Linked DNA regions of Tribolium castaneum. The protein of the gene in region 2 purifies or fractionates together with the protein of the main gene of each other region. This does not show direct contact. Links are inferred from orthologs where the notes say so. Each region holds a gene or a part of one and is shown on either strand. Other genes may lie near its edges. The genes, in order: AMPdeam, RnpS1, pea, NKAP family protein CG6066, putative RNA-binding protein Luc7-like 2, uncharacterized protein LOC661495 and su(w[a]).

Region 1 (4,551 bases), on a different chromosome or scaffold from region 2:
CCAACTACTAAGAACTGTTGCAATATTTAACGAAATTATATGAAAACAGATCGTCTTATCGTCAATTACACTTTGAAATAAATTCCGTTACATTTTTCAAACACTAATTGAAAGCAATTAGTAAAACCGAAAATAGTGTGAACCGGTCTCGAAGTCCTAATGACTTGCTAAATTTCCATTCTAGACGAAGAAAAATTTATTTTTAATAGAGAACTGGGGAGAAATTATGACTCATAGTAAACAGTGATACGTCTAAATTATAAATAGGCGAAGAGAGGTATTTTCGGCGAAACATTTGCGTTTAATATATTTAATGTTTTGAAAAAGTTTGGCTACAAGTCAACGTTGTTTTAGACATAAATGAAGGTCCTTGAATCCTTGATCTCAGAAGTTGCGTTGTAGTTTGTTTAGTAATTGTAGGCTGAGGTATAATGTTCTCAATCTTAGTACAAGTATATCAGTATTTCAGTAAATAATAACATTCCAATCATTTTGTATTTATCAAAAATTATGCATCAGATTTTTCTGATTTGATTAAAAGAACACAATGCAAATTATTGATATTTTTCAGCCAGAAATTAACAAAAATATTTGGACCGTTATTTCAAACTGAATAAAGCTTGCAATCTTTGATTTCCATGCGTTGGAAAATCGACGACCAAGTTCTGCTCCATGCAGCTATCTATCAAATTAGCTCAATTACATAATCATAACATCCCCACTAAATAAAAAACAGCACGCGAGGGTTTATTACAGTACGTGTATTGACATAATACTTGGAGATTTTCCCTCATGCATATTGCTCTCTATCTAATCTGAATATCAATTACGCCGAAAGTAAATTGCTCAGCTTGCCCCTGAATTTATTGGGGAATTACCTGATGCTGGTTTATCCTCATCCACGAACGAGTTAACCCGTAAAAACGCCGGTGCATTAACCACCGGCAGATCCACCGAATTTCGGTAATTCACACCCCGAGAACACATTTTCGTGTGCGCCTTTACAAGCGAACCATTCGATAAAAACTAAACCACGAACAGCCTGGCACATGTACAACCCAAAAATACGAATACAATTTTCCAACAATAAATTCTTACGACGAAAATAAACTTCAGGAAGAGCACTAGGTAACAATTTGACTTCGTACGAAACTTTTTAGCACAATAAATTTCGCTCAAGGTTGTGATAATGGCTTCATTAGCACACTCGGTGTATTTAAATAATACGATAAGGTTTATTCCTACCTGAAATGGAGTTTGAGCTAGTGCTATCGGGATCTGGAGAAGGGAAGCCTCTTGTACTCATTAAAACCCCGATTTTGGCGGAAAAAATGTATTACATTTCCAGATCAAACACTCAGCTTTTGCCTTTTGGACTTAAAAAATAATTCGATATTGTGACAGCTTGAAATTTGTCAAGTTTGACTTTGTTATTAATTATTAAATTAGCAATCACCAGAGACCTGATACGAAGTTCCGGCATCCGGTTCATAATTATACCTCGCATTTTTTATTTAAAACAACAAACCAATGGCAAACCCAAACCACTATTTGCTACTAAACATTAGGTAAATATATTCGAATAATGCATTCGTTGTTTCGAAATAAAATAAGTCAACAGTTGTTAACAAGAAGTATTTTAACACTTTGTACAACAATATTTTAAGTAAACTACAAATAAAGATAAAATGATAATAATTATAAACAACTGGATATGAAAATGTTGCAAAATATACCCACCTTTGAATTTTATCCCCAGATTTTAACAATCTTACTATTATAATTAAATTCTAAAATAAAACAAATAAATCTTAATCCAGTTTAGACATTCACACTTATAGAACTTATCAATATAAAATTCTTTAGATTGTTCTAAAATTAAATTTCATTCACCTTAATTTATTTTTTTGACGATCTTTTCTTATCTGCTCTATCGGTTCTGAACAAATATGTAATAATAATTTTATCTTTCCTTGTTCGATTAAAGGCTTAGAAAGTTATTAAGAGCAACCACAATTTTTTTGAACTATTTTTTCGGAATATCAAATTCTTGGCACATTGAAAGTAAAACGAGGTCATCAAAGAAAGCAGCCACTACAAATTTACATTAGCATTTTTTAAGGTCGATGTTAAATGTAAACAATTAATGGAGTTTCATTTAATCAGCTCTTTATTTTTAAATATTTAAGTTTCTCCGAAAAATGAATTTTCAAAAATTGAGAAATTTGTGACAAATTATTGAGTTCATTTTAATATTTTTGTTTATTGCACAAGTTGATCTAATTTATCCAAAAGGCGTCAAAACGCGATTTAATTATTTCTATTCAATTATAATTATTTAAAAAATTAAATATGCGAAAAATTTATTCATTCTGTTCCGTGGAATAGGTAGGTAATTAATTATGATTTATGAATGAATGGTTACATATAAAATACTCATTAATCTTGGGCAAAACTTATTGATTTAATAAAAAAATATTGATGTAATTTTGATTTTCTCCCTCACAGAATACAGTGTGGTTTGATTAATGAAAATCGCAAGTGGCTTAAGCCCATCAATGACTCAGTAACATAACCTAAACCAGCCTAAAGCTAATTATACCCACCTTGTCTTTGTTGAAGAATGTCAGTCTCAGTCTCCCCATCTCCAAAATCCGAATAAAAAGTCATAGAACACTTGGGCTTGCTCAAATTATTGGTGTACAAATCGGCCATAATTTGCACTGGAACCCCACTGAGTCTTTTAGCACTGCTTTTACCAATGTAAAAAACACGTCAGACGTATCAAAAAGAGCACACACCGTACGTGTTTGCATCGACACAGAGTTCGTGGAGGAAATATTGATTTTGGCACCGCATAAGGACGCCTCCAGCAAACGCGCAGCGGAAGATTTTCACGATATGTGTGTGTGCTTTCGATACGTCGGAAAAGATAACTCATAAAGCTGGAACGATTAAATATTTTTTAAGCACATGTGTTGCGAAAACGTAGGTGGGTACCGAACTGTACTTATCTCGTTCAAGTACTAAAAATAAAACCCACTAAGTATAAATAAATACGGCTTATTGAAATTAATTATTCGGGTGGGCTTTGTGGTAATTGTGCGCATTGTTACTCAATGACACACTTAATTAGGATGGAAGATGCTGGTTTGATCTATACCTGCATATATTTATCACTGCTTGTGATAACAGGAAATGCAATTGCGCGATTTATATTTAGCCAGGTTTATTAATCAGGCAGATGCAACGCGTCAATTTAATAATCATGCCAAATGAGCGAATATAAACATGAAAAAATGCAACATATTCGCTCTGAAACTGCATGACCTTCAGTTTAATGGCTGAGCTACACAGGAGCAAGTTTAGGAATTAGGAAATAAAACACCGATTATTTTTATTAGTGTTGTATTAAAAAAACTGAATCACAGACCTAAATCAAGTGTGTCATTCATTACATTTCTATGGCTAAACTACCAAACTTATTCATTACTGAAATCAAAATCACTATCGTGTGAAACTTTCGACTCCTGCTTCATACTTTCAGTGTCAGTATCTAACAGTTCCAAAATGTTACTTTTCTTTGGTTCTGACGGTGCAGGAACACTCTGATCGTCCCCTTTGACTTCATTCTGTTGCTCAACCACTCCATCATACGGTTGGTCATAATGCTGAATCATTTGACCGTTTTCATCATATTGCACATTACTTTGATCGCCATAGTATTGCGCATTTTCGTCATATTGTTGAATAGGTTGTCCATTTTCATCAAACTGTTGAGTCGGTTGTCCGTTTTCGTCATAATGTTGCCCATATTGTCCAGTTTCGTCATACTGTTGAATAGGTTGTCCATTTTCACCATACTGTTGAATAGCCTGTCCAGTTTCGTCGTACTGTTGAATAGGTTGTCCATTTTCGTCGTATTGTTGAATAGGTTGTTCATTTTCATCATACTGTTGAATAGACTGTCCAGTTTCGTCATACTGTTGAATAGGTTGTCCATTTTCGTCGTACTGTTGAATAGGTTGTCCACTTTCGTCGTATTGTTGAACAGGTTGTTCATCATACTGTTGAATAGACTGCCCAGTTCCGTCATACTGTTGAATAGGTTGTCCACTTTCGTCGTATTGTTGAAGAGGTTGCCCACTTTCATCATACTGTTGAATAGGCTGTCCAGTTTCGTCATACTGTTGAATAAGTTGTCCACTTTCATCATATTGTTGAATAGGTTGTCCGGTTTCGTCATATTGTTGTAGGTACTGGCCGTGTTGATCGTACTGTTGTCCGTATTGTTCATCGTACTGTTGAATATGTTGTCCACTTTCGTCGTACTGTTGCACAAATTGACCTTGTTCAGTAATCTGTTGCACAGGTTGTCCGTTTTCATCATACTGTTGTTCACTCTGATCGTACGGCTGGTCACTATTGTCATATTGTTGCACAAATTGACCTTGATCATCATATTGTTGCGTTGGTATTTGTGGTTCACCATCATATTGTTGTTCTTGAATCAGTTGTCCATTTTCATCGTATTGGCCTTGATCGTCAAAC
Region 2 (3,673 bases):
GCTAAAAACTACCTCAATGTTGGCCCCCTTGCGGATCAGTTCCAGGGCAAAGTACTCGATTATGAAAATGTCGCTGTGGTAGAGCAGGGACAGGGATAGGGCTGTGTGTCCGGAGTGGTTTTGCGCCTCCAAGTCGAATTTATCAAGCAAGTAGTCAAAAATTGCGTTCCTGAAACCAGGACTTGGTAGGGATTTACTGAACGTTAGGGGGGATCATACTTTTCGTAAATTATGGATAAGTGCAGAGGGTTGTTGCCGTTTTCGTCCTGAAGGGTGGTTTGGTCAAAAGGGTGCGGTAAAAGCTGCTTGAGGGTGGCAAGGTCATTGTTAGATATTGCTGATTCAACCTGGAGCAAAGGCTAAATTTGAGGTTATGTCAAAATAAATTATTACTTCAGATAAGAGATTTCGGCGGTTTTCATCACAATTATGTGAGACAGACATCACTTAAACGATTTACGAGTCATCTTCATCAATTTTCCATCAATTTCATTTGTAACAATTATTTGAAGAAAGCTAGGTTATGTGATAGGCAATACGTGGTAATACCAATATGACAAAATAATAATTTTATCATTTATCAATCTTTGATTATCAATACCTTAATTCCGGTTTTATTCCTTTTCACGCATTACAATACCTTAAAAAATTAAAATCGAAAAAATCATCTGGAACTGCTCGAACTGGAGCGGCTGTGCTTCCTGCGCCTGGGCGGGGGGCTCCTGGAATGGGGGCGCCTCCTCGGCGGGCTCCTCCTCATCGGTCGCATGGGGCTCCGCCTCCGGAATCTGGGCGGGGTGCGTCTGTGGGGCGGAGGCCTCCTCATATGCATCGGCATGGGGCTGCGCCTCATGGGGGGCGGTCTCGGCTTGGGTACAAGCACCGGAGCCGCCGTGATCTCCTGTCCATCAATTTGCCCCCCATCCATGTGTTTCATCGCGTTTTCGGCATCGTCCGCATTGGTGAACTCCACGTAGCAGAAGCCCCGCCCCAAGTGTGGGTGGATGTGGTCTTTGGGGAAATCCACATGTTTGATTGGTCCATACGTCCCGAAAATCTCCATAATGTGCTCCCTGTTGATGGTGCGTGTTAAACGCCCAATGTGGATTTTCGTGGGGCGTGGCGTGGGGGACCTGCGACGCCTTTTGCGCCGGTCTGAGCGCGAGCGCGAACGAGACTTGCCACGGGTGTGGTTTTTGTCGTCTTTCGCTGGGGATTTGCGATTGTTGACGTCTTTGTCTTTGACCTCGTCTTTATCGTCCTTTTTGACATCTTTTTCCTTCTCCTTTTCCTTGTCTTTGTCTTTGCGCTCTTTGCTGCGTCGGGTGGGTTTGCTGGTGGAGCGCGAACGGCGTTTGGGGCGACTGCGGTCTTTATCGCTGCTTGAGCTTGAGGACTCCGAGGAGGAACTGCTCGAGCGGGAACTGCTGCCCGAACTGGAACTGCTCGAAGAGCGCGAGCTGGACGAGCTACTGTCGGAAGAACTAAATCAAGTGTTTTAGGTGATTACAAACTCTTCAAACTCGGGTGTTACCTTCTGCTGCTATCGCTGCTGCTTGAACCAGACTCACTCTTCCGTTTACGGTCCCTACCACGTTCTTTCTTCTTATCCTTGTCGTCCTTTTCCGTATCAGAACCTATTTTTGCCCTAAGAACAATAAAAACCAACTCAAAAAATTTGTAAAAAGTAATGGTGTCCGGGAGTGAACAAACAAGTCAGTTGTTGTAATACAAATTATCTTGATCTTGAAGAACCTTGAAGGAAGCAAATCGAGCAAACACAAGTGATGCATGGGAGTTAAAATGTGCTAAAACTACAAGGAAATCGTGGAAAGCCCTCCCGGACTACAAACATAACCTCAAAACGTAAATACTCACATTTCTGACTATTCTTGATTCCTGTAAAGTCGGGACAAGTTTAGAACTAAAACCTTTCACTGTATTAACGCGGAAGTATGAAAACTACATGAAAAACTGTGTAATTGTGGAAAATTAGCAAAACGACGCTACTACGACCACTTGATGTTGGTAGCGCTGTTCTGGTGACTTTAAGTTTGTAACTGCTACACCAACGGTGGGAGATTGAATTTTGCACCCCCGCAGCTACAAGTAAAACACCGTGGTCAATAATAAGTGATATAATTTTTGTTTTATTTTATAAATACAACTTTCAACATAAAAACGTTAAAAAATGATACAATCTGACAAATTTAAAACAGAGTCGGTCGAATGAATAAAATGCGAACAATGGATAAAAAAGCGCACCTTGATAACACCTTGAATGGGGGAAAGTAATAAAATATTGCATTGTTGCCAAAACTAATAGAAAAAATTCTGCAACTGCACCGCAGTGATCAACACAATTTAGTAATGATTGAAGTCACAATTCGAAACAACCACATTAGGCTAGTATATTTCTATGTACAATTGAATATACTGTTCGTCAGTTTATATGCGTAATAGTTGGGTTAATCTCAGCTCACTATTCTGGGTCGGAGGCCATCGCGACGTCACCGTTCGTGCTGATGACGAGGGCGTCGTCCTCGTTATAGTCGATACTGAGGACGGACGACCTTCGCACGCGTTTCACACAAGTAGTCCTCTCCGCCTCGGAGTCCGAGTCCGTCCGTTCCTGTTCACACACACTGTCACCGTTCGACCGCCCATTGGCCAGCTTGAGCGTACTGTTCTCCTTCTGCAGCACTTGGGCGCTCTCTTTCGTCTTGCGCAGCTCCGTCTGGAGGAACAGGATCGTGCTCTGCATGCCCTCGACGTCCTCGTCCAGGTCGGCCAGGAACGCGTCCAGCTCGTTCTGGCTCTGTCTGACCTCCTCGGAGAAGCTCTTCTGCAGCGCCAGGTCGCTCTCGAGCTTCGCGATGCGGCCCGAGCTCGTGATTTTGCCGAGTTCCTCGTTCTCCTGGTACAGGAGGCGGCATTTCGCCATCAGGCGTTTGCCCGTGTTCGAGTCGGGGGTGAATTTCCACGCCGTTAGCTCGTTCTTGGTGTCCTCAAGCTCGGAACGGGTCGATTGGAGCTCGGTTTTTAGCTGCTGAAGGATGCAGTTCACGGCAGGATCGAGCAGGGTTGAACGGAGGGCCGAGGGGGCTTGGGCACTTTTCAGCTCGTTCAATTGGCACTGCAGCAAAAATACTCTTTAATATTGACACAAAAAATATCGCAAGGGCGCCCATTTTTCGGAGTGGGTTTACACAGCGGTCTTACAATAACAAGGTGTCTACGTCCCCGACATTTCGTTAATAAAATATACAAGTAATGTTAACCATTTTATTCAACATAACGTTTCTGGTGATTTTATTAAAACTAGTACAAACGCACAATTTTATGAAAAATTGAAAAATGATTCATGACAAAATTCGCTTCGTAGATTAGTTCAGGTTTGTGCTTATTAAAAAATTAGATAAAAATTTCATATAATCTGATTTAATCTACAAAGCGGTAAATTTAGAATGACAATAAGCTAATTCAATACATATTTACAATAAATTACATCACAGCTGCTGAAAGTTATTTACGGATTGGCAATGTAACGCTCATATCAGAACATTAAAAATTTAATTAGCACCTAATGAGTAACATTTCTGAACAGTAAAAAACTACACAAACATAACTTACCTATGTTTGCTAAACATGAAGAAAAAATCCATTTTGCGAG
Region 3 (4,517 bases), on a different chromosome or scaffold from region 2:
ATGGGCGTGACCACCAACGAGTCCATCCCAGTTTTAGAATTATAAACTTTCTGTTTGACAAAACCGGGATCGACAACGTAAAAAATCCCATCAATGGTCAACGAAGTCTCTGCTATATTTGTCGCGATGACAACTTTCCGGCTTCCGGGGGGCGCCGGTTCAAAAATCCGGGTTTGCATCTCGGACGGAAGCGCCGAATACACCGGAAGTATAATCAATTCGGGGACATCCGGTCCTAATGATTTCATACGTTCGTATAAAATTTCGCAAGCCGTGTCGATTTCTTCCTGTCCGGTTAGAAACAAAAGTATATCGCCGGGGGGTTCCCGTAAATGGATTTGCATAACGGTGATTAGACTTGCGTCCAGATAATCCGTTTCGGGTTCTTTCGTGTAGAGGACTTCGACGGGAAATGTCCGGCCTGGAATTGTAAAAATTGGGGCTTCGAAAAAATATTGTGAGAATTTAACGGCGTCGAGGGTTGCCGATGTCACGATTAGTTTGAGTTCGGGACGTTTCGTAACGGCCTGTTTGAGGAGGCCAAAGAGGACGTCGGTGTGAATGGTGCGTTCGTGGGCTTCGTCCAACATTATGACCGAGTAGGCCTTGAGGTCGAGGTCCATGAGGCACTCACGAAGCAACATGCCGTCCGTCATGTATCTGCAAAGAATAGTTTCCTTTCAAATGTCTTTAAATTGTGATAATATTTGATTATTTTTTAAATATGTTTCGATGTGGTAATTTTTTATTTTATTTTTAAACCCACTTTTGAAACCAAATATATTGTTTTGTTATACTCACTTGATGATCGTTTCTGGACTTGTGCAATCCTCAAACCGAATCGTATAGCCCACCTCCTGGCCCAACCTACACCCAAACTCCTCGGCCACCCTCTTGGCCACCGACATGGCAGCCACCCTCCTAGGCTGCGTACACCCAATTTTCCCCCTGGCTGTGAACCCACTCTCCGCCAAATACTGCGTGATTTGAGTCGTTTTCCCAGACCCTGTCTCCCCAATCACTATCAAAATCTGATTATCGGTCACAGCTTTCCTCAACTCTTCCTTCAACTTATAGATGGGCAGACTCTGCCTCTGCTCCAAAATACTCAAATTGGTTTTTTTCCCAAACGAAGATTTCTTCCCCCCTATTACGTGTTTCTTCCATTCGGGTAAATCCTGCGATTGTAAACCAATCCCACGTGCCGAATTCATTTTACTCTCATCCTCGGGCAGTGGATCAATCCAGTTTTTATTTTTCCCAGACGGTTGCGAATCAATTTCCTGTTCTCGTTGCAACATTTTTTGCTCACGACGTTCTTTCGCCAAAGCTGATTGCATCATTGCGGCTTGAGCCAACGAACCGTCTGGGTTTTTCACAATACGGACGGGACTCAAGTCGTGGAGCGCCCTCCCGTGACCTTGGAGGAAAGGAGGCTCGTCCTCAACCAACTCAATCTCAATATCAGCCTCTCCGTCTTCATCCTTGGGCAAAAGTCCGGTTTCGTCGTCGAAATCCGGCAACTCACTCTTATCGATACACCCGGACGAAATCATTTGTTTGATTTCCCAGCGTTCCGGACTCGAAATCCGGGTGACACGTTTGCGGGAGTTTTCCTCGTTTTCGTCGATGCCGACAGGAAGGCGCAAAACGGAAGTTCCGGTGTTCATTGGACGATCCGGGTTCCGGTCTTTATCTTCACGTTCTGCAGGGGCGTGTGAAAGGGGATTGAGGTCTTTTCCGGTTATTTGATCAACGTCTTTCATTGATAAGGAGACTTTTTGTCCGGTTACTGATAGTACTTTTATTTTGACTTTCATTCCACGTGAAACGACCTCAGAGACGTTTGTGACGCGACCTTCAGCCCTTAATTGCGAAATATGCACTAGACCTTCCCAACGGCGCCGTAAACCCTCCAACTGGACAAAGCAACCGAAAGGGACAATGTTTGCCACTTTTCCTGTGTAAATCTGCCAAATAATTAAGAATTAGCACTGTTATGAAAATTAAATGAAAAGATGAAAATTTCATTCGGCAAAAATGTGATTCAACTGAATCATAATTTTAAGTTTTTTGTTTTTGTAGTATTTGTCTTGTTTTTTCTATTTAATTCAGATTTTTATAAATAAGAAAAACCTACTTTTCCAGGGATTGGATCTTCGTCCAATTCCGGACTCTCCCGCTTGATTTTCCTGTCCCTCCTCCTTGGGGAGGCACTCCTGTCCCTCCTCCTCGGGGACGCACTCCTGCTCCTCCTCCTCCGCGACCTGCTCCGGCTCCTGCGCCTCCTCCCAGACCTCTCCCTCGACCTCCTCCTCCTATCTCTCGACCTGGACCTGGACTTTTCCCTCCTGCGCCGCTTCCTCTCAGGACTCCGACTTCTTTCCCTCTTCTCCTTATCATTTTTCGCCTGTGAGGGGGCATCAGCCTCCAACTGAGCCATCAAATCAGCCACAATATCCTCATCTTCCCCCTTGGTCTCCACCACTGGTGTGAGGGGTTTTTGCACCTCGTTCGGTAACGCCAAACCCGGGAATTTCGCAGCTAGTGAATCCTGTTCATGACTCGAGTTCACTTTACTCGCCTGACTTGATTTTTTGGGGCGCATGTGTTGGATAATACGGAGCAAATTTGAGACGAAAGAGTCGGAAAATTCAGCACCATTCTCGACAAGGACTTTCTTGAAGCTGTCGACAGTGTCGTGCTTTTCGGAGAGGTGGATTATGAACTCGGCTGGGGAGAAATGAGGGTTAGTTGGGGCGGAATCAAGAGTTGGGGTTAACTAACCTAAATCCTTGTCGTTCATCCCGAGATGGTTTTCCAATTCGGTGCATACTTTAGATACGAGGGATAAATATTCTAGTTTTTCAACTTCGTTCATTTTTGTTAATTTTAGGGTAAAAACCACAAAAACGTTTTGTTGTCTAAATTGTCAATTGTCAAAAAATTTCTGACAATTCTGGCATTACTGGCGCATGCGCAAGTCAGTGATGTAATGTTGGTTACATAACACTATCACATAATTGTTAATAATTATTTTCATAAATTGTAGTAAATGCCTTATTTTTATAACAATACGTTTTAATCACGTTGTATTGTTAGAATAAAATGTACAAAAATAAAAAAAATGGTTTGTAAAAAAAAATTAAATTGTGTGTTTATTTGGTTGTCTAACACAAAACTTTATTCAGAAGAATTTGGTTTCATTTATCATACATAGATAACTCTGCCGTTTTTTTAATGTTTTGAATTAATTTTTGACTTATTTGGAAGAGAAGCTTTAGATCTTTTTTTAGTGTTTTTGAATTTTTAAAAAAATTTGGAAACTCCAAATTTTGAGCACTTATATTATTCTAAAATTTTTTTCTAAATAACCTTTATAAAAATTAAAATGCTTAGGAAAATCTGTTTACTGGCGTTTTTTCAGTTATTGGTGTTATTTCTCTTGCAATTTTTTTTCTCAAGGGACGTAACGACCCACATTCCGTTTTAAAAAGGGTCACAAAGAGCGTAAAAAATAATAATCCCTTTTAGACCGCGCCGAGAAAGCCGAAATAGTCTCTCAAGAGACGCTAGAATCTGCTTAAATCAAGGGAAAAGTCGATGGAAATGTATTTTTTCCTAGAGATGCAATAACCACTTTCGGCCCCCGTTAGTTGAGACCGATCGCGCAAATGCGTAAATATTTTGCGCGGTATTTCGTGGGCCTTTGTTGGGCTAATTGCCCTAAAAGGGGCAAACAGCGCTCTCGCTTATCGTTTAAATTTGCTTTAGAGTAGTATTTCCGCGGAGTATTATGAGAGTGTGCGGATGTCAGCTCATATCCTCGAGCCAACAATAGTCCGAAATAGGCTGCAATCGGGGTATAGTCAAGTACTATTGTGATAAGGAGTGATAAGACAACAGTCCATTATACCAAGGGGGTGTCCGATATCAAGTCAGGGGAAGATTGAGGTGTCGAAAGGGCGTTAAGTAGTTCGCCAGCTGACGATTCATCCCCAAAGAAAAATCTCATTGTAATAACAACGGAAATATAACTTTGGCGTCTATTTTGCAATTGAATTGCATTGTGTGACTTGTTATTGTTACATTCGATGCAATTTTCAGTTTTGAGGATGCGATGCAATTTCGAAATGTTACAAATTTATTATTAGGGTGGGGTTGGATTCGGCCCAATTCCCAACAATGGCTGGTTGTTCCAGGGCGGCCAGATGGGGATAAGACTAAGCGCACAGGGCCGGACTGGCTATTTCAAAACCTAATAACCCGTAATTTTTAACACAAACAGGTTGAATTTCATGTTGCCCCACTTGAAAATTGAAATTTTCGACAACTTTATCCATCACTTGACTTGAATAGTTTTTGGTTGCGGCTTTAATTGTTTCTTCATTTTTTGGATACAGGTACTTTTGTGCTTTTTTACGAGGAGTACATAAACTGCACCCCAAATTTCTGTACACCAGATTTTCTTCTGATTTAATAATGATTTTCTTTGTTTTTTTTTGATATCTTAAGAT
Region 4 (3,128 bases), on a different chromosome or scaffold from region 2:
TATGCATTTAAATTTTTTTTATCTAAATAATATAGTAATAAAAACAATTTTTTTCGGTCGTTTTATAATTTATAATCATACCTTGCATTTTTTATACAGCGTTGGCGGAAGTATAGAACCAAGCGTTTTCAAAAATTGTTTTTTTCGAAATTTTTGTTTGTTATTGATTACGTGTATAATACACGTATTAATAAATTTTTTGAAAAATTCAAATAAGAAAAAATTTACCAATCGACCATTTTATTATATTGAGTAAGATAAAAAAATAACTAAATCAAATATAAATATAAATATAAATAAATATAAGAGATTTTTTAAATGTTTCTTTTTAAATAAAAATTGACCTGTCTCAAAAATTTTATTTTTTTTGTTTTTTTTTACTAAGATATTTAAGGTGGCTTGTTTTTAAACTAAATGTGAATTTTGTTGTTATACTTTTGGTTCAATCTGTTTACAGTCTTAAACGTGAAACTGTATAACGATTGAAATAGTGTGACTTCTCTGATAAAACTTTACTCACAGCAGACGCTTTTCTGACTGAAAACGCGATGAAACGCTCAAAAAACTAAAATTTTTGACCTAATTTTGTTTAGCAGCAGGAATTGAAGAAAAAAACAGTAGTAAATTAATACAAGTATAATAAAAATGGGTAATTTTTAATACATTTTTTCTATTTTTGTAGATTTCAACCAATTACTAAATTGCGCAAACCGCAGTGGAACCCCACATCCGCCCTAAATCCGCACACTTAATCAAAATTTCAATTTGTCGTTTTGTGGTTTCCGTTTCTTCGACTCTTGCACCTACACAACATCCAATTCCATTCATCTTAAAGCCCTACAAGTGTTAACAATGCAGGCAAAACTTTTCTTAATCCTTTCCCTTCTAACTGTTTTTGTGTACGGCCAAAGGCCTCGAACAAAATCGGGAGACTGCCCCCCGTACCCCAACGTGGGGATCTGTGAAGTGGCCTGTTTCGAAGACAACCACTGTGCCGGCCATTTCAAATGCTGCCGGACGGCTTGTGGCGGCACTTTTTGTACGGCCCCTGTAACAACGAGGCGAATTCAAAGAGGAGGTGAAATGGATACAATTTTTTTTAAAGAAAATTAATTTGTGTTTTAGAGAAACAAGGGTCTTGTCCAGTTGCACCGTCAGGCCCTTGGGTGTGCTCCAGCAGGTGTGCCCTAGACTCGGACTGCAGGGGGGCTAAAAAGTGCTGCAGGAATCGGTGCGGGGCCATGGCTTGCACCAAACCCGAATTTTAATCAGTTACAATTGTAGTATCGTTGTATGAATAAAAATTAGCAAATCGACGCATTTTGTGTTTTATTTATTTCCTTAAAATTTGAAATGGTTTGAGCAAATGTCAATTCTAGCTTATGGGAATGACGTAAAGTGACTTCAGTTTGACAGTTTTTTTTAAAGGTTATGTTATTGTAAAAAAATTGATTTTTTACGAAATGATGGATGTGGCAAAACACAGACGCAGTCGGTCCCGTTCCCCGGACCACCGGAGACACAAAACTGATAGATCGTTTAAAAATGATCGTAATAGGAGACACAGGTCCAGGTCTCATTCCAGGTCAAGAGACCGCCATTCCAGCAGACGCAGGTCTAGATCCAGAGGCACCACAACAAACGGTTTTGAACGAAACGACAAATATGAAGTCACAAAGAAAAAACACCTTGAGGACGAGTTCATGGAGTCCCGACGCCAGGAGCGTGAGATCCTCGGAATGAGGGATTACCCCAGCATTTGGGGCCAATCCCCCGAACCCGAAGACTCCGACAGTGACGTCGAAGACGTCACCAAGAACGCCCCCAAGCTAAAAAAACGGAAGAAGGAAAAGAAAAAATCCCACAAGAAGCATAAAAAGAAGAAGAAAAAGAAGAAGTCTTCAAGTGAGAGCAGTTCAGGGGAGGAAGAGTGGGTCGAGAAGACCACAACCACCAACAAACCCCAAACCAATGCGGAAGAGACCGAAGAGGTGATCGTCGGCCCCATTTTGAAGCCCCATGCCGCCCTGACTCACAAGGAAATGGGCAAGGCTTTGCTCCCTGGTGAGGGGGCTGCCATGGCTGCGTACGTCGCCGAAGGAAAACGGATACCAAGAAGAGGTGAAATTGGACTCACGTCTGAAGAAATTGAAAGTTTTGAAGCCGTGGGTTATGTCATGTCCGGCTCAAGACACAGGAGAATGGAGGCTGTGAGGATACGGAAAGAAAACCAGATTTATTCAGCTGATGAGAAGCGGGCTTTGGCCATGTTCAGCAAAGAAGAACGGCAGAAGAGGGAGAACAGGATTTTGGGACAGTTCAGGGAAATGGTCAACTCCAAACTGGCCGAAAAGAAAAATTAATTTCGTAGAATTGAGTGTTTATTACGTATAAATAAAGTTTTTTTATTACTTAATTTGTTTTACATTGTTGTACCCAACCGGTCCATCCCCCAGGGAAATGTTTGGCGCTGAAAATTGAACTTAAATTTCGGGTCAAAGTGGCCTATGATTTCGAATTAAGTTGGCAACATCTAGTTGCCAACTAAATTTAAAAATCACAGGCGACTTTAATTAAAGACGGAACAAAACGAATGTTTTACTTTACGTATCCCAGATTTTTGGCTAAATCTAGCGCAGCTCGGCTCCGCCGCCCCGACTGACAACTGAAAACTAAAGGCGTGGTGTTTGTAGGCTTTTCTCTTCGGAAAACTTGACGAAATTGTTCATCACTTGTGTTCTGCAGCGTTTCTTCTAAAGTGGCCACTTGAAATGAAGTACTTTGCAGTTAATTCATAAGTTAATTAGGGTATTTACAAGGTATATTGATGCTTCCAGGAATTGTTCCAGTTTGCGCTAATTCCGACGGGTTCCTCACATCAATTAGAAGAACCTGTCTGTTGTCTTTTAGGCTTCTAACGTAGTCAAAAGTTACTTCGTCTGACATTCTGTGGCTTATATTTAACGTTTGTGAGAATTGGGATAGAGGGCGCTCGAGTGACTGGCAATTTTTTATCGGATTGAAATGAATTCTATGCACAAGTGAATGAGCCCTTATGTGCTGTTTCAATCCAATAAAAAAGCCCAGTTGCTACAAAACGTCGTGATTGTTCAAATATGTGAGAAATT
Region 5 (4,610 bases), about 4.0 Mb from region 2:
CATCTTCCAGTGAACCACAACTTACAACTACTTTGCACTAAAATAATATATTACAAAAATATATTACTCGAAACAATTTAATCCCGGTCGCGGTCCCTTCTCTTATCGCTGGAACTTGAGTGGCGCGAGTGTGAGCGCCGTTCCCGACTCCTGGATCTGGAGCGATGCGATCGAGACCTGTTATCCCGATCCCTGTCATTCTTTTCCCTTTCTTTGCGGTCCCAGGATCTGGAACGGTGTCTTTTGGAGCGTCTGTCCAGTTCGCGCCCCCCGACATACTGCTCGCGGTGTCTCTCCCTGTATCTATCTTCCCGATCGTCCCGGTCTCTGTCACGGGAGGACTTGCGCTTTTCCTCCTTCCGTTTCTCGGCGTTTTTCTACAATATATAAAAGTATAAAATATTTTGAAATTACTTAAAACTCCTTAAAGTGGTTGATATTGACTACGTTAAAGATGGCATTAAAATATTTATTTTTAATTCGTTGCGACGTTTCTAGTCTCCAAATGGTTAATTTTAATCTAATGTGAAGAAAGAATAATGAAAAAATGTCGATTTATTATTGAGTTTGGAGTGAATTTACTTTCTAAATTTAATTTATACTTAAAGCAGGTCAATTAATACTGAAAAATTTAAATTTTTTTTGAGTTTTGGCCAATTAGATGAGCTTTATGCACGATTTATTTAGTTAAGAAACTCAAAAACGTGTTTAGAAGCTTGAGAAAAAAAAAACCTTTTTCTGGTCGACATTTTGACATTTTTCAGCCTATCTTGACGAAATTTCGCTTAAAAACAAAAGAAATTGCCTGAAACAGGCAAAATATTTTAATCTTATTATGATCACTTTATGTGATTTATTGTGATTTCTGGGAGCATTTAATAGAATAAATAAGTTTCAGGTTCAAGACTTGAAAATGACTGAAATAAAATAAGATTAACATTAATTCGATCAAATTTGATGTTTTTACAGCCACTTATGCCCATTTTTTTTTAAATAAAGCACTAAAGTGTAAAAAGCCAAAAGTTGGTGATTTTTTGGTTTTCTTTAGCGACATCTCTAAACCTAATATTTTTAACTCAAAAACGGAACATGATTTCAGACCGAATGTTACGGTTTTTCGGCTTATTTTGAAGTAATTTTGCTCCAAAATGAGCTAAATCGAGAGACACTAACATCAATTTCCATTTATTTTGTAATTTTTTGTTGTGTTTTAACGAGTTCTTTTGTAAAGTCGATCTAAAAAAGACAATTAACATCAATTTCGATCTAATTAGATATTTTTTTCCCCAATTTTACCTAAAATTTTCGAAAAGAACTTTTTTTGCTTCAACAAAACTCGAAGAAAACTAAAATAACACCCACTTTAGTATAACTGGGAAACTTTTCGATTTGTTCTTAGTTTCTATTCTAAATAAGAATATCCTGCTAAATAATGCTAAAAAAAGACAAAAACAAGATAATTTTGAATTTAAATTCATCGAAATCTTCAGAAAAAATGATACCTTAGCTCTAAAAAGTGCTTGAATTCTTGGGAAACGCAGAAATAGCAGTACTATTTAACTAAAATTTATTGTTCTTGAACAATAGATAGATCTCTCGACGAAAGCTGGTAAAAATAACCTAATAATCAAAATTTTTCTTAAAAAAACACCGTTTTTATCTCAAAAACCTGTTTAAAAATTCGAAAACCTCGAATTAACAATGGGGTCTAACTTGTTGAAATTTTGTTTGCTGTTTTATTTGAAAATGTTAAGAAATAATTCCTTAAAACTATATCAAAACATATGGAAAAGGAAAATGAATGTTATTTGACTAAAAATGATTTTTCAATCGATTTCTTGCAAGAAACTGAAGATATATCTTGCAAACACGTGTTTCCAAAAATACACAAATAACATATTTTTGACCACAAAAAATTTCATACAAAACAGAGCTTAATCCAGTTAACATAGCTTAAGAATGATCTTGCAAAATAAAGTCCAAATGCATTAAATCGAGAGAAATAATCTAAATAAATTAATTGTTTTGGTGATTTTACGGCTAACTTTAACGAAGTTTTGCAATTTCTGTCTGGAGAATGTGCTAAAACACTCAAAAAACAAGAATTGTGTAGTGCTATACTTAATTTGGTGCTTTTTCGGTCTCCTCTAGTGAAATCGTGCAAAAAACTAAGTTTAACAACCTTCTGACCAAAGTTTGTTTGAAAATGTTTCTAAAATTATTGACGTGTTCAAAATCAAACAAAATAAACGAAATTTAATCAATTCGACCTAATTTTGTAATTTTCCAGTTACGGGGCTTGAGAGGGGAGGGGAGGATAACATAATTTTTACTAATAACTTTTTTCTTCTTTTATTTTTGATGTAATCTCGCACAAAAATAAACCAGAGCGATTCAAATACCACCAATTTAGAATATATTTTTATTAATTTTAGACGTTCTCTGACCTAACCTTGTAAAATAAATGAGTATCTGATTCAAAAATGCATTAAATCCAGTGGAACATCAACTTCAATCTAATTTGGTGAATGAAATATGCAAACTAATTTATTTTTTGCGGGGAATTTAAAAATTGCATGTATATATTTATATTATATATAAATATTATGTATTTATCGAAGAGGCCGTGAAAAATTGTTTCATTTGTCATGTTTTTTAATCAACCATCTCCAACCAAAAATCGTCAATCATTTCAAAGGATAAATAACGAAATGTCTCTGATGATTTTTGAATATGACAGGGTTTGGTTGCGTCATTTTCAATTTAGGTGACTGTACAAGCTGTACATAAAACACAATATCCTTACCTCAAGTTCGGCCAACTTTTCCCGAATCTTAATAAACCCAAGATGTAATTTCCCGCCGAAATGATCAGCGAGACGTCGATCGTTATCATGTATGCCGAGATAAGCGGAACAAACTTCGCAAACTCGTAATTTCTGTTGTTGGTAGCTGCTTGCCGGCATTGAATTGCGATACTCTTGCTCGGCTTCCAATTTACGCTTTCTCAATTCGTCCACTTCCTCCATGAGTTTCATGCTTTCGTCGACAAAACCCTCTTCGCCGAGTTGCTCGGCTTTGGCGAGCTTTTGACCGATTTGTTCCGCCAATTCGTGCACGCTGTTCGCTTTAACGGCCACTTCAGCCGATAGTTCTTCTTGGGTTTCGGCGAGGCGTTGCTTGGCGGCCTCGGTGCGACGGTCGCAATCGGTGATAAAAGCTTGCAGATGTTCCATTGCCTTCAGGAATTTTTTATCACTGGTTTTATATTTTATTGGGTATTGGGTGATATTCATAAAAATTTGTAATTATCAGTTTTTTTAATACTTATAAACATACTTACAAATATTAGTATTTAATAGTTAAAAGTATCACTTCAACCTAAAAGTGAACACTTGAATCCAAATGTCAAAAGGAGATGCTTATCCTTATGACGACCATACAAAGTGAGACTACTAATGAAGTACTATATTTTTACTATACGTATCTCAGAAATAAATAATTGCACAGAATTTAGGTTGACTATTAAATAATTTTTTATTTAATTTAATTTTAATTCAGCGATTCCAGGAATAATGCAACCTGACACCGTAATTTTCAAAATAAATTTAATAATGCAAAGTTTCTTTCAAAATATACGATTCAGTTTGTATTTGATGTATTTTACAACAAAAAAGTTTTTTTGTTGTTGTGGATTTAAAACATGAGACGATAATTATTTAAAGTGAATTCCAACATTTACATACATTGCCTTGTAGGCAATAATATAAAATACTGTTGACAGCTGACGTACTATAATTGGTAAATAATTTCTGAAGTGTTTTTTAGTTTCTGGTAGTGTCCCATCCATCATGTATAAACAAAAAGTAAATTAATCGTAAATCAATGCACACTGCATTATTCCTCGGTTTCGAGAATAATTGTAGGAATTAGTGCATTTTAAATTAACATAATATTTAACAATAAAATGTAAAGTCTTCTTTATGTCCTATTCGCTATCAATTTGTGTTTTTCGTGTTCGTATTTAAAATTTTACAACTGTAGGGTGCAAATAGTTGGACTGGTACTAAGTTCCTTTTCTACTGATAATATTTATAAAAACCGTTAAAATGAATCACAAAGATGGGTAGAAAATTTCGTAGATTCAAAAGTTTTGCAATATTTCATTTTTTGGATGTTGAATTAAATATCAAAAATAAAATAACTACTTAGAAAGATGGTACTAGAAGTTTAAGAATGATCATTTTTACTCGAGAATAAGATTTCAACAATTTTTTTTTCTTTTAAAGCAATTTTAAACAATACAAAAATATTCTGAAAAAAATGCATGAATGATGGATGTATCAATTAAAACCAAAAATGATTACTAGTACAGTGTATCTCCTCCTCTGGCATCAATAAAAATTTAAAATCGCCACCGCATACCATTAACAAGGACAGATATTCGTGCTTGGGCAGAATTTTTTTTTGAGTTCTTAGGACTCTGTAAAGCATATTACAAGCATAGCAATGGTGGTAAAAAAACGCTTGTTAATCAAACATGAACACATGCTAATATTCGTAAACACCAAGTTTAGGGCTTCTTTTACCCAAAAATGCCAAGAGAATGGT
Region 6 (3,437 bases), on a different chromosome or scaffold from region 2:
GTTGTTAAGACATGTAGAAGTCCATAAAAATTTGCAGGAGTTAGTTTAAAAAAAATTTTTTTTTTCACCTTCTTGAAGGTAAGCAAGTGTATTACTCAGAAAATTTTAGCAAAAAAAATGAAAATTTTAAATCTCATGAAAAGTTGGTATAACACAGAAAATGAGCCGCTGAATTCAATGGAACAAACCGCATTGCTCTACGACTTTTAGTTTTCGAGTTATGAATTTTTTTAATGAATAAAATTTTCCACTATGGCATGTTTCAATTGAAACGTTCAACTCACTTTAGTCAAATCAGTTGCCGTACATTCAATCAAAACATTTTTGGTGTTGAGTGTAATTTTGGAGTGATCCCCATTAATAATCGGCGGAAGGGATAAAATAACCCCATTACTGTCCAAAACGAGTGGATATACAGGGCTGTCTTTGATGATGTGCAAGTATTGTTTTAGCTGCGCGTGCGCCTGAAATATCACGTGACTGTTGGGAATCCCCCAAACTCGGTCAAAATCTTACTGAATAGAGCTCCATAACGCCGTTGCCGTCACACTCTTTGGTTTGATTAAGTGGTACAAACTTAAACTCAGAAGGTGGTTTAGCGTCATAGGTGAAGGGCCCCTGAACTGTATCTAAATCGTGCGTCCCGATTGAGACAAGCGTGCGTTTGCGGCAAATATTCTGATGCAACTTATCTTGCAAATCAATGAAACTGTTGTAAGAATCTTGAGTGAAGTATAAATTACGCAAAACGGCGCCTACGATATAAGGCCTGATTTTCGCCGTTTCGGGTGTGACGTGAATTTTTTGAATACTGTCTGATGACGGTTTGATACGTTTGTAAACCGGCGGCTGAATTCTACAAAAACATTACAGTGCCAAAGTCAAGGCAAAACTAATGACTCACTTCCCCTGAAATATTTTAATTCCTAATGAAATGCCTTCAAGACACAATAAATCGTATCTGTTTGCAGGAATGTCAATTCGATAAATGACTTCCTCGGAGGCTCCCGCCGCCTGGGCTGAATCCTCCCCTTGTTCCTTACTTATCATCTGTTTTTCAGTTGTCTTGAAATTTAGGGCATTATTGCATCATTTTATCGCTTGAAAGATTAATACTTACGACTTCGTCCAGTTCAAGACCGAACTCGAAGCATAAACGCTGGAATTCATCGTCGGCTGGAAATTGCAAATTGGGGCAATAAGGGGGCACAGTGATCAAACAACTTACTGAAAGTGCGCCCAAGGGCTTCGAATAGCAAATTGCGCTTGACACCCACAGTCGGCATTGTATTTTTTATTTACTATCACGTTTTTGTCTAAAAATGAACACGTTTAAAGTGTTTCACAACTGAAAAAACGATGACATGTGCGGGACCTGTCAATGTCAAAAGTTGAGGTTGGGTCAATTGTCAGCATCAGCGATCAGTTTTCGAGAAAAAACGCCAGTTTTTAAGATTATTTAACAATTAGTCTTCGTCAGAACTATAATCGGAACATAATAATGCAAATTTAATTAATTTTTTCCCACAATATTTTTTTTCGCCGGTTGTATTGGCACACCTGTCAATTGCGAGACGTAGCGTTTCTTATAACCTTAAAGTTACTTCGCCCAAACAAACAAAAAATGGGCTCAAAGAAGAAGAAGCGCGTTTCCAGCAGCTCCAGTTCATCAGATTCAAGCAGCGAAAGCTCCGATTCATCACCCGAACGGCGCCCGAAACGTAAAAGCAAGAAAACCGAATCGAAACCTGAGACTGAAGAATCGCCGAAGAAAACCAAAACGAAGGCAAACTCGCATAAAAAACACGAAACTCCGCCTGTGGCAAGTGACGAGGCGAATAAACAGGCAAAAAAGAGGGACAAAAAGCCAACAAATGAGGAAGAAACCGACAGGTATGATTGTTGGTGGTTTTAAGGGAAAATACTAGTTGTGTTTAAAGGAAACGCAAGCGGAGTCCTGTGCCTGAAAATCGGGACAGGCGGGAGAGGGACGATAAGAGGGTCCGGGACGATCGGGGGCGGCATGACGACAGGAGAAACCGCCCCAATGACCACCGTTCTCACGATAACAGGTTCAGAAACCGGCGTCCTGATTACAGAGACAGGGAACGGGATTACAGGAACCGACGGGACGATAACAAAAATTACCACAACCGGGAGCGAAACAGAGAGAACCATCCAAGGCGGCGTAGCAGAAGCGCCTCCTTTGACCACTCGAACGCCCGTTGGGGCCGCGAGTCGGACGACAAAAAATCCGACAAGAAGGAAAAAGACCAGAAGGAAAAGCAAAAACCGAATTTCGGTCTTTCGGGAAAACTTACCGAAGAAACTAACACTTATCGTGGCGTTGTTATAAAATATAGCGAGCCGCCTGAGGCTTGCAAGCCGAAACGTCGGTGGCGGTTGTACCCTTTTAAGGGCGAAAAGGCCCTTCAGACTTTATACATACATCGCGAAAGCGCCTACTTGATTGGGCGCGATCGCAAAGTTGTTGATCTCCCTGTAGATCACCCTTCGTGCTCAAAACAACACGCAGCTTTGCAGTATCGCCTAGTCCCTTTCACGCGTGAGGATGGCACCACTGGTTTGTGGGACAGCTGGTAGTGTGTTGGGTTTTTCATTGTTTTTTTCAGGGAAGAGAATAAGGCCGTATTTGATTGATTTGAACTCGGCTAATGGGACTTTTATCAATAATAAGAAGATAGAGCCGAGTAAATATGTGGAGTTGTTGGAGAAAGACGTGATCAAGTTTGGGTTCAGCTCAAGGGAGTACGTTTTATTGCATGAGAATAGTAAAGATGAGACACAGGATGACGATGTGAAGCAGGAAGAGCCGGCGGTTCAAGTCAAGAGTGAAGAGAATTGAATTTTGTGTATATATTTTAATTTAGCTTAGGTTTCTTTCAATAAAGTAATTTTTTCGATTAAAATTCCCGCTCTTACGATTTAGTTATTCTCTGGGCAGATGGCATCGCAGTGTGCGCGTTATTTTGACATTTGTGTATTTGAGGTTGTGTTCGAAATAAAAACTGTTCAATTGATTATTTCGTTTAATATTTAAACCCGTGAGTGTTTTTCCCCATCATTATGTCGTCTCAAATGAGCACGAAGGAAAAACTCCTTTACATCCTCGACGATATTGAGTTAATCTCCAAGTACGTCCCCCTTTCGGGTCATTTCGTATGGTTTTATTTGCGTTTTTTAGAGAAATAATCGAGAATTCAATCGCCCCCAAGCACCTCAAGCTTTCCGGCCCTGAATACGCTCAACTGACCGAGCTTTTGGTGGCCAAAAACACCGAACTGACTGAAACCCTTAAACTGGCCGCTGAACAGGCGCAAATCGACAAAAAAATGGACATCTTGAAGGCCGAAGTGGAGCGTCAGGACAACGACATTAACAACTTGCAAAAACAGCTCAAAGAGGCCGAGCAAATC
Region 7 (4,253 bases), on a different chromosome or scaffold from region 2:
AAATAAACCCCACACTGACCTTTTTTTGTGGTTGAAGTAACTTGATACCGGCCACTTTTGATAGCCGCCAACACGTGCCGGTAATACTTGTACAAGTTGTGTCCCTGGTTCAGAAAACCAAATTGTGGATTATCAGCTTGTTTGGCCTTGATTAGGATTTCCATTTGGGGCCCTTGTTTACATACGAAAAGCGCCGTTTTCTCGATCCGAATATTTTCTTTGACGGTTTTTGGCTAAATAAACAAAAAAAAATGTAGAAAAATTTAACCTCTCTGACACTAAATTGCAAACTTGACCTAGTTTCAAAATAAATTTAATTCAAATTAAGTTGCCACTTATTTTGTCTAGTTAACTAAATGAAAATGTTGCGTATTTTTAAATGTAATGAAAAATTTAATTTAATTTAATAAAATTGTGCATTAAAAAACAAATCATTATTAACTTAATACTTTTTTTTTACTTTATTTTTTTCAAAATAAAATTGATTAATATAATTTTTTAAACTATTATGGGTTAATTATAATTTTGAAACGTTGGTGAATAAACATAAACATAAAAAAATAGCCTTTTCAAGCGCTTTTGAGTTGCATACCTAATTTTTTTTTGCAAAATATTATTAATTTTGATTAAAAAAATCACTAAATTGAGTCAAAAATAGCATTATTCTGTTCGTTTTCCAGCATTTATTACCACGTAATTATTTCGCAAAATTACGTCAAAAAACCTTTGCTTATTTCAAGCATTTGAGCACGTTTTTCAACCAAACATTTAATTAGTATTTTACAAAATTTCATCAAAAAAAGTCACAAAATAAAGCTGAAATGTTGTTAGTTATGCTTATTTTATGCCCGATTTTCAAGTAGATATGCAATTACTTTTCAAAATTTCGTCGAAAAATCTGTAAATTATATGAAAATGGTACAGATTTCGAATTTTTCTGAAGATTTAAGCACGTGTTCGAGCTAAAAAGTCAGTTTCTGCTGAAAATTTTTATCAAACGAAGTCAAAAAATCACTAAATTTGAACAAAAATAGAATATTGGAAGCAATAATTTTGGGAGATTTCATCAAAGATAAGCTCAAAAATTATTAATTTAAGCCAAATTTGCGTATTTCTGGCATTTAAACACGTTTTCCGACCAAATTCGCATTTAATTTGCAAAATTTCGCCAAAAAATCAGTAAAATAATGCCAAAATAGAGCCAGTTTTTTGCAAATCTTTGATAAACTAGACCAAAAAATCACTAAAGTTGGCCGAAAATAAACCAACGGAAACAATTATTCGCAGAATTCCATAAAAACTAAGCCAAAAAAAGGCATTCTTGGACGTTTTCCAGCCAGACATGCAATTATCTTTCAAAATTTTATCAAAAATAAGCCAAAAATTTGCAAAATTATGTCAAAATGGCGTAATTATTGACTTTTCTAAATGAATTCATCAGAATTTGAGCAAAAATTGTCGTCAAAACATTAATAAAAGACATAACAATAGAATAATTTTTGACTTTTTCAAAAGTTTGGCAGGTTTTTGAGCTTAAAAATGTTTTTTTTTTGTAAATATTTGCCAAACCTAGCAAAACCACTAAATGTGCCCAAAGATAAAAGCAATATTTCACTAGATTTTATCAAAAATGATCGAAAAAGTCACAAAATAAAGCTAATTTTGTTACTTTTTTGTGTATTTAAGCCTGTTTTTCAAATAGATATGCAATTATTGGACAAATATCAGCCGAAAAATCTGTAAATTATGTGAAAATGGTACAGATTTTGAATTTTTAAGAACGTGTTTAAGTTAAAAAGTCAGTTACTACTGAAAATTTTTGGCAAACGAAGTCACAAAACCACTAAATTTCAGCGGAAATAAAGTAATGGGAGCAATTACTTCGCGAAATTTCATCAAAGATAAGCATTTAGTCAAGTTTTTCCACCAAATATACGCATCTATTTTGCAAAATTAAAAATAAGTTACAATAATAAATAAGATAAATAGTAAATAAATTAAATAAGACCAAATTGACCAAAGACAAATTATTATAAATGTAATATTGTCTCTAATAAACTGTCGTCCAAAATTAAATTAGGTAACATAATTCTTGTACAAAATTCTTAGGCTGTCTATTTTAAACTTTTATGTAAAACAATACTATTTTAAATGATTTATAAAAATTAATAAAAATTGACAACGAAACAAATTAGATTTGTCGAATTATTATGTGTAAATTATAATTTTCAAACATTGATGAATAAAGATAAACATAAAAAATTGCTGAATAAAGTGGCTCCTAAGAGAATTTATCTTGAAACTACGTCTAGTTGGCTGGTTTATCGAGGCGTCATTTTCACGTTGTTCGCCTGTACTCACTATTGCAATATCAACTGGCACGTCCAAATGCGGTGACGGGACGTACTCCTCGTCCTCCTCCTCGGGCTCTGCCACCGTGGGGGCGCTCTCTGGCGCCGGGTTCGCCGGGACGTCATAACTGTACTGAAACTCATTCGCTTTCTGTCTCTTCTGCTCCTCCTCCTTGTACATTTGCTCCTCTTCTTCATTGATATGTAACGAATAGTACCGTTCCTTATCACACAACTGCTCAAGTTTCCTCTCAGAGTCACTCAAACCCAACCACCGCATGGCGTCAAAACCCTCCCGACTCGCCTCAAACGGTGATATGTCCGACAGGGCGCCCCGACAGTCATATCTACGCAAAACCAAATCAATTCAAAGTAAACCAAAAGTAAAACTAACCTATCAATTTTGAGACTGTCGTCTCCCATCCACGGGATAAGATGGTGGCCTTTATCGATGTAGGAGGCCTTTTCGTCATCGCGGAACAATTTACACGCATAACCGAACACTAAAAGATCGTCGTGGTTCTCTTTCGGCTTGTTTTTGCGCAAAATACCCGACTCTGAAGTTGTGCCCCACTGCGCCATTTTGATTTTTTGTACGGTTGGCAACATTTTTTACAAACAATGCCGGTTGCCCCGGCAACCAACAATACGCAAAACCAAATAATGGACAATTTTACGAATATTTGGCTAATTACACGTTACCAGAGCCCATTAGTTAACGAAACGTAAATTAATTATTTCCATTCGGCGCCTTTTACTCAAAAACAGCGTTAAGTGCACCGGTACCGTGTGATCCAAAATGGATGTGTCAGTTGGCAGTTCTGAATTTTATTAAAAGTGGTAGCACTGTGCGACTAAAAGGGTGAGCAACTTTACTTTATTTCATACAAGACAAACAATGACGTGCACAATAAAACCCAAAGTGCGGATAAGTGGCCACTTGAGTTGTTATCATCACGTGGCGTGGAGTCTTGTTCAAAGTTGCGTCCAAAAATAGCGAAAGTTAGCAACCTATTCTGAGGCTTAGTTATGGAAAACTTGCGCTCTATCAAATCTTTTCCGTCTCGTGTGACTTGTGACCCACTCCAGGCCGTTTCAGTTGTGTCTATCGGTCGTATGGAGCTTTTAAGTGAGTTGGGAAATTGCGTATGATTTTCGCTCTTCTCAAAATTTGCGGAAATTGTGATTTTTTCAAACGTTACGGGCCACTGGACTTTATCATAATTCGGGAATCTTTGGGCACACGAAGTTAGGGAATTATTCAAACAGGCGATAATCCCGCAAATTTCAATCCCACCATTGGCAACGCCTGAATATGACCGAATCCCCGAAAACGCCACTAGGCGATAAGTGTAAAAGTTTAAGTCGGGTTTAATTGCATCTAAAGTTGTCTCGACTGTAAAATTGCAACAAAACTGTTCCTTGTCCTCATTCTCGTAGCAAAGCTCAGTCTTTGTGGATTTAACAGACGTGTTCAAAACCACAGTTTTGTAATCTAGGATTCGTAATTAATTATTAAAAAAAATAATAATACAAGAAAAAATCACCTTGAACACTGTCATCAACTTTCAAGTGAAAACCGTCCATTTTTTTCGCCAATTCGTCCACATCTTCACTCGCTTGTTTTTTGTCATCACCTTGATAAATAAAAGCTTGGGTTCCACCCTCTGCCACAACGCCCCCAACTGTTAGACCTTTGACACCGCGATAAACACCACTTCCGCCACTTCCGGCGGAGCGACTGTTAGCCCCCGCAGCAAAAAGTGTGATATTGTGGCCGTAAGACCACATTTGTTGCGCCTGCATTGCTACCAAAAATTTCAACCGGTTAGGTTGGCAATAGAAGCGATTATTTCGCGAAATTAGGGGAAAATTTTTGAGTTGCATACCCAATTTTTTTTT

Evidence for each region.
Region 1: the proteins of RnpS1 (region 2) and AMPdeam purify together in Homo sapiens (co-immunoprecipitation; 3 studies listed by BioGRID and IntAct, with this or other methods). This does not show direct contact. The link is inferred for Tribolium castaneum from reciprocal best matches to the Homo sapiens genes RNPS1 and AMPD2.
Region 3: the proteins of RnpS1 (region 2) and pea purify together in Homo sapiens (co-immunoprecipitation; 3 studies listed by BioGRID and IntAct, with this or other methods). This does not show direct contact. The link is inferred for Tribolium castaneum from reciprocal best matches to the Homo sapiens genes RNPS1 and DHX8.
Region 4: the proteins of RnpS1 (region 2) and NKAP family protein CG6066 purify together in Homo sapiens (co-immunoprecipitation; 3 studies listed by BioGRID and IntAct, counting the BioPlex papers as one, with this or other methods). This does not show direct contact. The link is inferred for Tribolium castaneum from reciprocal best matches to the Homo sapiens genes RNPS1 and NKAP.
Region 5: the proteins of RnpS1 (region 2) and putative RNA-binding protein Luc7-like 2 purify together in Homo sapiens (affinity purification with mass spectrometry; 4 studies listed by BioGRID and IntAct, counting the BioPlex papers as one, with this or other methods). This does not show direct contact. The link is inferred for Tribolium castaneum from reciprocal best matches to the Homo sapiens genes RNPS1 and LUC7L2.
Region 6: the proteins of RnpS1 (region 2) and uncharacterized protein LOC661495 purify together in Homo sapiens (affinity purification with mass spectrometry; 4 studies listed by BioGRID and IntAct, counting the BioPlex papers as one, with this or other methods). This does not show direct contact. The link is inferred for Tribolium castaneum from reciprocal best matches to the Homo sapiens genes RNPS1 and SNIP1.
Region 7: the proteins of RnpS1 (region 2) and su(w[a]) purify together in Homo sapiens (co-immunoprecipitation; 3 studies listed by BioGRID and IntAct, with this or other methods). This does not show direct contact. The link is inferred for Tribolium castaneum from reciprocal best matches to the Homo sapiens genes RNPS1 and SFSWAP.

The regions. Positions count from the first base shown.
Region 1 is NC_087396.1:12,808,705-12,813,255, forward strand, and holds the start of AMPdeam (AMP deaminase 2), read right to left. Parts: upstream 3,012-4,551; 5' UTR 2,716-3,011; coding exon 2,607-2,715; intron 1,421-2,606; exon of another isoform or gene 1,307-1,420; coding exon of another isoform or gene 1,246-1,306; intron 1,156-1,245; exon of another isoform or gene 988-1,155; coding exon of another isoform or gene 879-987; intron 50-878; exon of another isoform or gene 1-49. Other genes in the region: uncharacterized protein LOC103313680, read right to left, coding at 3,483-4,551. UniProt on the Homo sapiens protein: AMP deaminase plays a critical role in energy metabolism. Catalyzes the deamination of AMP to IMP and plays an important role in the purine nucleotide cycle.
Region 2 is NC_087399.1:5,873,304-5,876,976, reverse strand, and holds RnpS1 (RNA-binding protein with serine-rich domain 1), read right to left. Parts: upstream 2,038-3,673; 5' UTR 1,881-2,037; coding exon 1,879-1,880; intron 1,649-1,878; coding exon 1,535-1,648; intron 1,485-1,534; coding exon 665-1,484; 3' UTR 587-664; downstream 1-586. Other genes in the region: ankyrin-3, read right to left, coding at 1-169, 220-347, 394-444; fl(2)d (pre-mRNA-splicing regulator female-lethal(2)D), read right to left, coding at 2,483-3,136. UniProt on the Homo sapiens protein: Part of pre- and post-splicing multiprotein mRNP complexes. Auxiliary component of the splicing-dependent multiprotein exon junction complex (EJC) deposited at splice junction on mRNAs.
Region 3 is NC_087395.1:23,613,430-23,617,946, forward strand, and holds the start of pea (ATP-dependent RNA helicase DHX8), read right to left. Parts: upstream 2,965-4,517; 5' UTR 2,882-2,964; coding exon 2,788-2,881; intron 2,734-2,787; coding exon 2,141-2,733; intron 1,971-2,140; coding exon 802-1,970; intron 661-801; coding exon 1-660.
Region 4 is NC_087400.1:4,953,934-4,957,061, reverse strand, and holds NKAP family protein CG6066, read left to right. Parts: upstream 1-1,371; 5' UTR 1,372-1,463; coding exon 1,464-2,363; 3' UTR 2,364-2,416; downstream 2,417-3,128. Other genes in the region: waprin-Rha1, read left to right, coding at 853-1,078, 1,126-1,268. UniProt on the Homo sapiens protein: Acts as a transcriptional repressor. Plays a role as a transcriptional corepressor of the Notch-mediated signaling required for T-cell development. Also involved in the TNF and IL-1 induced NF-kappa-B activation.
Region 5 is NC_087399.1:9,864,719-9,869,328, reverse strand, and holds part of putative RNA-binding protein Luc7-like 2, read right to left. Parts: intron 3,239-4,610; coding exon 2,807-3,238; intron 378-2,806; coding exon 78-377; 3' UTR 1-77. UniProt on the Homo sapiens protein: May bind to RNA via its Arg/Ser-rich domain.
Region 6 is NC_087397.1:1,785,571-1,789,007, reverse strand, and holds uncharacterized protein LOC661495, read left to right. Parts: upstream 1-1,430; 5' UTR 1,431-1,624; coding exon 1,625-1,893; intron 1,894-1,940; coding exon 1,941-2,584; intron 2,585-2,633; coding exon 2,634-2,866; 3' UTR 2,867-2,930; downstream 2,931-3,437. Other genes in the region: beta-PheRS (phenylalanine--tRNA ligase beta subunit), read right to left, coding at 285-464, 517-856, 905-1,065, 1,121-1,176, 1,229-1,286; MED4 (mediator of RNA polymerase II transcription subunit 4), read left to right, coding at 3,088-3,155, 3,206-3,437. UniProt on the Homo sapiens protein: Required for pre-mRNA splicing as component of the spliceosome. As a component of the minor spliceosome, involved in the splicing of U12-type introns in pre-mRNAs. Down-regulates NF-kappa-B signaling by competing with RELA for CREBBP/EP300 binding.
Region 7 is NC_087401.1:16,305,328-16,309,580, forward strand, and holds the start of su(w[a]) (splicing factor, suppressor of white-apricot homolog), read right to left. Parts: upstream 3,030-4,253; 5' UTR 2,961-3,029; coding exon 2,746-2,960; intron 2,699-2,745; coding exon 2,362-2,698; intron 234-2,361; coding exon 20-233; intron 1-19. Other genes in the region: vanin-like protein 1, read right to left, coding at 3,224-3,846, 3,899-4,159.